Linked DNA regions of Oryctolagus cuniculus. The protein of the gene in region 2 purifies or fractionates together with the protein of the main gene of each other region. This does not show direct contact. Links are inferred from orthologs where the notes say so. Each region holds a gene or a part of one and is shown on either strand. Other genes may lie near its edges.

Evidence for each region.
Region 1: the proteins of cyclin-dependent kinase inhibitor 2A (region 2) and UBE2I purify together in Homo sapiens (affinity purification with western blotting; 3 studies listed by BioGRID). This does not show direct contact. The link is inferred for Oryctolagus cuniculus from reciprocal best matches to the Homo sapiens genes CDKN2A and UBE2I.

The regions. Positions count from the first base shown.
Region 1 is NC_091450.1:33,712,910-33,716,649, forward strand, and holds the start of UBE2I (SUMO-conjugating enzyme UBC9), read right to left. Parts: upstream 2,215-3,740; 5' UTR 1,949-2,214; intron 1,766-1,948; exon of another isoform or gene 1,609-1,765; intron 1,462-1,608; exon of another isoform or gene 1,309-1,461; intron 1-1,308. UniProt on the Homo sapiens protein: Accepts the ubiquitin-like proteins SUMO1, SUMO2, SUMO3, SUMO4 and SUMO1P1/SUMO5 from the UBLE1A-UBLE1B E1 complex and catalyzes their covalent attachment to other proteins with the help of an E3 ligase such as RANBP2, CBX4 and ZNF451.
Region 2 is NC_091432.1:185,038,044-185,041,759, reverse strand, and holds the start of cyclin-dependent kinase inhibitor 2A, read left to right. Parts: upstream 1-859; 5' UTR 860-917; coding exon 918-1,043; intron 1,044-3,716. UniProt on the Homo sapiens protein: Acts as a negative regulator of the proliferation of normal cells by interacting strongly with CDK4 and CDK6. This inhibits their ability to interact with cyclins D and to phosphorylate the retinoblastoma protein.

The DNA of each region.
Region 1 (3,740 bases), on a different chromosome or scaffold from region 2:
CAGGGCCGGCCACAGCGGCCCTCAAGGTCCAGGACCACAGCCCAGGGCCCAGGCCGCCGCGCCTGGACTCCACCAGCTGCTGTCTGCCCCGTCCTCGGAACCCACGGGTGTCGCCCTCCAAGTCCCTGGCTACAGAGCCACTCCACGGCTCACCTGGCACTGGTTAGAGGGGGAGGCTCTGCCCGGGGCGGGCGGCATCCCAGAACCCAGCAGGCGAGAGCCCAGGAGAGCCAGACCTCCACAGACGATCGGACGAGGACCACGGTCCTCGGGCTCCTGAGTGCCGGCGCCTCCGGCCGTCGCACACCGCGCACGGCTGCAGGCTGAGCCCACGGCTGCTCCACTTCCCAGCCGGCTCCCTGCGGGGGGACGCCCAGGGCCTTGGGCCCCTGCACCCGCGTGGGAGACCAGAAGAGGCTCCCGGCTTCCACACGGCCCAGCCCCAGCCGACGGGGCCGTCTGGGCGAGCCAACCAGCGGCTGCGCGACCTCTAACTCTGCCTTGACAATAAATAAACCTTTAAAGAGGCGAAGCCGCCGCCAGGCTGCCACGCCTTCCCGCACCTGGCGCCCCAGCCCGGGCCCCTTCCGGGAACAGGCGTGGCGGCCCGGTCCCAGCACACCTGCCTGTGGCTCACCACAGCCTCCACCTGCACGGGCAGCGCGCGAGCCAGCCCCGGGCGCCCTGGGGTCCCCGGAAGCAGGCAGCACAGCACGGGGCAGGGGCCGGCAGGGGCCTGGGGGCCGCGGGGAGCCCGACGTCGGTCCCCAAGGCTCCTGTGCGCCTCTCACACCCTCCCCGCTGCAACCCGCCCTCCCGAGCCAGCGCATCAGAACTGCACCCCTGCCCGTGCTGGGCCCGAAAGAGCTCCGCCCACAGAGACCCCCGCGGCGGGCGGCGCTGCCCGTCCGGGCCGAGCCACAGGTGCGCACCTGCTCGGCGCCGGGCGCCCGGCCTCAGTCTCAGCACGCAGCCGCGCTGGACAGGTGGGCTGCCGCGGCCCGCACCGGCCGCCTCCGTGGCCCTTCTCGGCCCTCCCGCACCCGCGGACGGGCCCTCTGGGGCATGCACCCCACGCCTCCCTCGGCTGCGCCCGACCCCCGTCCCGGGACCCCCGCGCCCCGCCAGACAAAGGCACAGCGGCGGGCTTGGCCAGCGGCCTTGCGGGAGAGGGCCGGGGCGCCGCGCGGGGCAGGCGGCCCACACAGGCCCCGGGAGGCGGACGGAGGGCCGGGCGCGCTCCGGGCCCCGAAGACGCGCGACCCCCGCGGCGGGGCAGGGGGCTGGGGGCCGCGGCCACGGCCTCACCTTGGCCGGCACGGAGCCGCCCGCCGCCCGTGGCGAGCGGGGCGCTCTCGGCCGCGCAGGAAAACTTCCCTCGGCGGCGGCGGAGCCCCCCGCGCGCCCGCTGGTCCGCAACCGGCCGCTCCCGGCGCCCTCCCGGGCGGCCCCGCGAGCCCCGCGGCCCGAGGAAGGCGCGGCCCGGGCGGCCGCCGTGACCCCGAGGCCGCGCGCCGCCCGGAAGGCCGCGGCGCCCGCCTCGCGCCCCGCGCGGGCCGCCGACGGCCCGGCCCGAGCCCGCGAGGCCCCCCGCCCGGCCCCGCTCACCTCGGGCGGCCGCGGCCCGGCGAGCGTCACGGACGAGCGGGGGCCGAGCGGCGGCGGCGGCGCTTCCCTTTGTCTCGGGACTTCCCTCCGGAGCCCGCTCCGCGCGCAGCCCCGAGCGCCGAGGACCCCGGCGCGGGCGGGGCGGCGGGGCGGGGCCTGGCCCGGGGCTGCCCGCCGCACGCCTGCGCCGCGCGCCGCCGCCGCCGCGCCGCGCCGCGCGCCGCCCGCGGCCCCGCGCGCTCCTCGCCGCCCGCGCCCCGCCGCCGCGCGCCCGCGTCCCGCGTCCCGTCGGGGAGCCCGGCCCGGGGGCGACTTTCCAGTCAGGCGGCGCCCTGGACACCTGTGCTCTTAAAGGAGCCGCGTCCTCGAAGTGAGGGAGCGTCTGCAAACTCTCCTTCGGGGCGGGCGGGCGCACTCGAGGATACGCCGGCGAGCAGCCGGGGAAGGGGCGCGCCGCGTTCCTCAAGGGCTCCCCGGATGCCCGGCGGGCGCGTCTCAGCGCGTAGGTTCCGGAGGTCTCCTTGGGGCCGGGGCCCGGGGCCGGGGGGCAAAGACCACTGAGGCCTACGGATGCCCGAAACGGCGCAGGACGGCGACAATCCCCTGAGTCTGGCGTCCTGTGAAACCCCCTGCAATTGGCCAATGCAGGGGCCTGGGCGGGGCATCGTCCAGATCCGCCCAATCAGCTGACGCCGTACGGAAGGCCGGACGCTCGCCAGACCGACGGGAGGAGAAGCGCCGACGCTCCCTAGCCCGGGGCCGTCCCGCCTGGGGGAGGGGCGCGCCGGGATTCCCGCGCGCGGTCTCGTCCCACGAGCGCGAGCGCGCGGTTCGCGGGTCCGCGCCGTCCCGCGCGGGCACGGCGGGGTCGCCCCTGGGGCTAGGGCGCCGTCCGAGCCGTCGGCGCGGTGGGCGCCCGGGGCCAGGCGATGGGGTCGGCCGCAGAGGGCCTGGAAGGCACTCATTCACGCCCTCCTCCAGGCTCCGCCGTCCGCAGCCTTCGCAGCTCTGGTTTGCCGGGACACGGAACGTGGCTGACAGGCCTGGCGGCAGCGGCGGAGACCCCCGAGGGGGCAGAGACGCCCCTCATTCCCCGCGCCCCTAGGTCCCGGTCCCAGCTTCCCCGCGGTCTGCGCTGGGCTGTGTGGCCGTGGAGAAGCCGCTGGACCGCGGCCCTGGGGTCCCAATGGGCAGGGGTGGGGGGCAGGGCCTAGGTCTGCAGGTGGGGGGGGTAGGGCCCAGGTCTGTGGGGAGGGGGAGCTGGGGGGCCCAGGTCTGCAGGTGGGAGGGGGTCAGCTCAGGGGTCCCGGATCCGCGGTCCTCCACACGGGGACACCTGGGGCAGGGAACCCACCTCAGATGGGCCAGGTTCAAAGGACACACTGAGGCTGGGGGGGGGGGGTGAGGGCCCCGGCCCCGCCTTGGGGGGCAGCCCTCCACAGATCACCCACAAATCCGGGCTGGGGGGCTGGTCAGAAATCCACACCTGAGCAAAACCCAGAACTCCCGAGAACAGGTGCGTCCCGACCCCGTGCCGGGGGCGGAGCCGGGGTCTGGGCCCACCCTCGGGGGGGGGGGGAGTGTGCGTCCCAGGACAGCCGGCGACCGCGGGCCCACCCCGCCTCGCACTCCCGCCCAGGGAGGAGCGCGCAGAGAGGCTGTGTCCCGGGGGGAGCGGAGGCCGGGCCCTCCTCCCCGTGGCCGCCCTTGGACGCCCTTCGCTGCCCACCGCCTGGTGACCGCGGGCAGCGCTGTCCCTGCCCCAGAGCCGCGCCCCGCCCGGATGCGGGACGCACCTGCCGCGCGCTCCCGCCTGGGCCTCGGCTGCCTCACTTCCGTCTCCAGACAGGGCCTCGCGCACCTGCGCCGCTCCCGCCTCCGGCCTCTGCCCGCGAGCGCTGCCCGCCCAAAGTCGCCTGCGGGGGCTCCTCCCCGGCCCCTGGGCGGCCGGGCGGGCGCTCTCGGAACGCCCCGGGGGCAGGGGTCCGTCTGCCTCCGCACCTACAGGACTGCGGCGCCTTTACCTGCCCGGGTGGCCCTCGCGCGGCTCCCCCGCGGGACCTCGCACCTGCACAGCAGGTGGGCAGCCGGATGCTTGGCTGCGCGGGGGAACCGGGGGCGAATCCAGCCGT
Region 2 (3,716 bases):
GTTCTGTTTACCTTTTCATCAGATGAGAAGGTGGGGGAGGGTGTCCGGTAGGTTGAAGTCTCTCCTCCAGGGACTCCCTCCCCACTTCCCCCATGTGCCCACAGGCAGAACTCTGCCCCACTCGTGCCAAAGCCAGCCCTTCCACAGGACTTGGCCCTTGTACCAGCAAAACCCTCGCTCCCTACATCCGTTTCACCGGGGAGAGGGGGCGGGGCGGCGCGAGCTGGCCGACTCTGCAGATCGAGTGCTCAGGGCCCGACTTCAGGCAGCCTCGCTCGGCGTGGACGCCGCGCGCGCGAGCCCGGCGTTGAGAGGGGGAGCGGGCGGTGCGTCCTTTAAAAGAAGGAACACCTCTCTGGCCCTCCTCGGCGGCGAGGGGACGGCTTTGAGAGTCTTCTGATTTTAAAAGAGGAAGCAATACTGTGCCTGCGATACCAAACGCCCAGATTCGAGCGTGGCAGTTAGGAATCCCGCGCGGTTTTCTAACGCAGGGGCTGGGGGCGGGGCAGGGTATACTGGGAGGGGAGGAAACGCGGGAGAACAGCTCTCGCTCGGGGACCCGCGTGGCACCCACGGTGGGGAGGGGACAGGTGGGAAGGGGCCCGAGGCGCCCCCCTCCCACCGCCCGCTTCCGGCTCCGGGACGAGCCCCGCCGTGGGGCGACTTCAGGGGTGTCACGTTCCCGTGGCGTTCAAGCGAATGGCGCCTCCTCAGAGACACGTGAGCGGCGCCCCCTGCAATGGAAAGCCGCGGCGCTCCCGCGGGAGGAGTCAAGGACAGAGTCTGGGGGGCCTCTTCCGCCAGCCCCAGAGGAAGAAAGAGGAGGAGCGAGCGTAAGGTCCGAGGGTAGGGCAGCCTCTGACTCAGGACAGCTGCGGAGGAAGGGTGGCAGCGAGGGTCGGGCGGCACTGGAGCCGATGGAGCCCTCGGCGGACAGGCTGGCCACGGCCGCGGCGCGGGGCCGGGTGGAGGAGGTGCGGGCGCTGCTCGAGGCCGGAGTGCCGCCCGACGCTCCTAACCGCTATGGTCGGTCGGCGATCCAGGTAGGTGCGCGGATGGGCGGCCGGAGAAGCGGACAGCCGGGGGCTCTGGAGTGCGAGGTTTGCAGGGCTGCACTACCGGGGAGCGCTTCGATGCATCCGTCTTGGGGAGTTTTCCCGTGGAGCAAGGAATCAAAAACTTTCTCCTGGCGACCCCAGTGGGGTGGCGGGTCGGGAAGCCACCGAAGCAAAGAGCAGGCACGTGCGCTGTGGAGTTCTAGACTGCTGGGACGATCTGGCAAGGGGGAGCGATTTTATAAGATCTAACTCTATCAGGTGCAAAATTCACGAACGTTGGGGATGAAACGCGAGTTTCAAAGCCATGTATTTTTAATAATGATTTGCTGGGACTTCTCAGCCCCAAACTCAAAGGCCCCTGAATGGTGTTTATCCTCTTTCTCAATAAAGGGGGATTTCGGTGGAAATCGGATAAAATACCGATTGGAATTATTCAAAAGTAAATATATACGCTACTTATTTTAACTCTGACTGAGGTAATCTGTACTTACTATAAGAACTTGGGAAATGAAGACAAATATGGAGAGAAGCATTACTGTGATCTCGCTTGAGATAATGTATAGTTACCCTTTGGGGATATCTCCTATTATTCAGGGTATTTTTTGGTTTTTATGGCTTAACTTATTTGGGATTGTTGAGCAGTGTCATTTCTCCCCCTCTGCCCTCTGGTTTGGGCCGTACGTAGATTGTTTTGCTCTTTTGTCTACACCAACTTCCTAAATTTCAGTCTAAAACCAAATTCTTACTGGCAGTCACCACCCTAGTTTTATCCCTGGTGGTCAAAATGAGTTCTGATTCATAAAGAAAGAAAACTTTTATGAAACGAATGCGTGTTGCAAAAACTCCAGCACAACAAAGACAAAGGAAAGTAATTCTACATGGAATTTCACAAATGAGTTCTCCTTTCCTGAAATTATGCTACATAGGATAACTTTTATATATTTAAAATATAGATATAAAAATAAAACCAGAAATCTTTAAAACTTGAGATCATTTGGGATCTGAAGTATGGAGACATTTTGAAACTGAAAAGTTGGGTGGTTATTTAAGAATGTATGCATAATAATGTGTGCACCACTCATAATATCACATCTCTAAAATTTTGCCAGCAGCATGGAAACAATTTGGCTTTGTAGTTTTAGAAGAGACCTTATTTGATTAAATAAAAAAGGCAAATTTGGTTGGATGATTCTGAGTTTCTTAATAGGGAGGAGAAAGGGAAGATAATTTCGTTTAGAACCCTAACCAAATTTATGTTTAACACAGAAATACTTAGTTTATAGAAAAAATAAAGAAATAAATTCAAGTAAATTTCTTATTAAATTTATTTAATCACCCTCCAAATATTCATTTAATTAATTCATTCTTTTTGCTTTTAATTGCTACTATGGTTTGAATATTTAAATGTGTGCCACTTTTCAATTTTTTTTCATGCAACAAAACATTAAAAAAAGGTTTAAGACCAGCTTCATGACCAAAATGAAGGACTTTATAATATACCCAAACAGTGCAGTGCACTGTTTTTTCTTTCTTTCTGTTACTGTAATTTAGTTCACTTACATTTTCTTCTGGTCATTTTGAAAACTAAATCAGTTTCACTTTCTTCAAGGCAGGATTCAACAGCTACAGTATAATTTATTATGTCTCCTTGATTTACACGAATTAAGTAATTCATGTTTAATGGACAGAACATGACTAGAAATAAGTAATTCCTCTTTACACAGTCACTATCTTTGGGTTAATATAACCAAACAGTGGTTATCCTGAAAGAATTCTCTCTCTCCCACCTCTCCATTCAACAGTCAAATTGTAAAGCTGCTGTGATTTTGGACACCATTGTAAAATTACTCTTTGGGAATGGCTTTGTTTCAAAGATGATTTAGGAATCAGAGGTGAGCATTTTCCATTTAATAAACTCTCCAATCATAAGCTTAGAAGTGTTTTTCCTCTCTTCCTCTCTGTCCCATATTGAACTGCAGTTGGAAGAGCTGAGTCCAGTCTCAAAATGGAGGACTGTGATGTGCAGGAAACAGAGCATTTGAGGAAACTGTGGATGGGTGGGTGTCCTGATCTTTTTGAAACTACAGTTGATAGTTGGAGAAAACACTTTAAGAATAGGGGCACACTCACAGACTGTAAAGAGAGACCCTGAAACGAAACATTCCAGGGGCTTTGGTTTTGTGGCTTTCTCTTGTGTTGACGAGGTGGATGAAGCAGTGTGTGCTTGATCACACAAGGTTGCTGTACATGGAGTGGAACCAAAGAGAGCTGCTTCTAGAGAGGATTTGGTAAAGCCTGGTGTTCATTTAAGAGTGAGGGAGATTTTTGTGGGTGGTATTAATGAAGGTACAGAAGAATCTAATTTGAGGAATGTGCCAAGATTGAAACCGTAGACGTTTTGGAAGACAGGCAGAGTTGGGGAGGGGAGTGGAGAGGAATTGCTTTTTGTATCTCTTGAATGTCATGATAAGGCTGATAAAAATTGTTGCTCAGAAATAGCACACTATTAATGGGCATAGTTGTGAAGTGAAAATGGCCTCTTTTAAACAAGAGGTGCAGTCTGCCGCTGGATCACCAAGTGGCTGTGGACATGAATCTGACAACTTTATGGGTTGGGGAAGAACCTTTGGAGGTGGTGGAGATAATTTTGGCCATGGT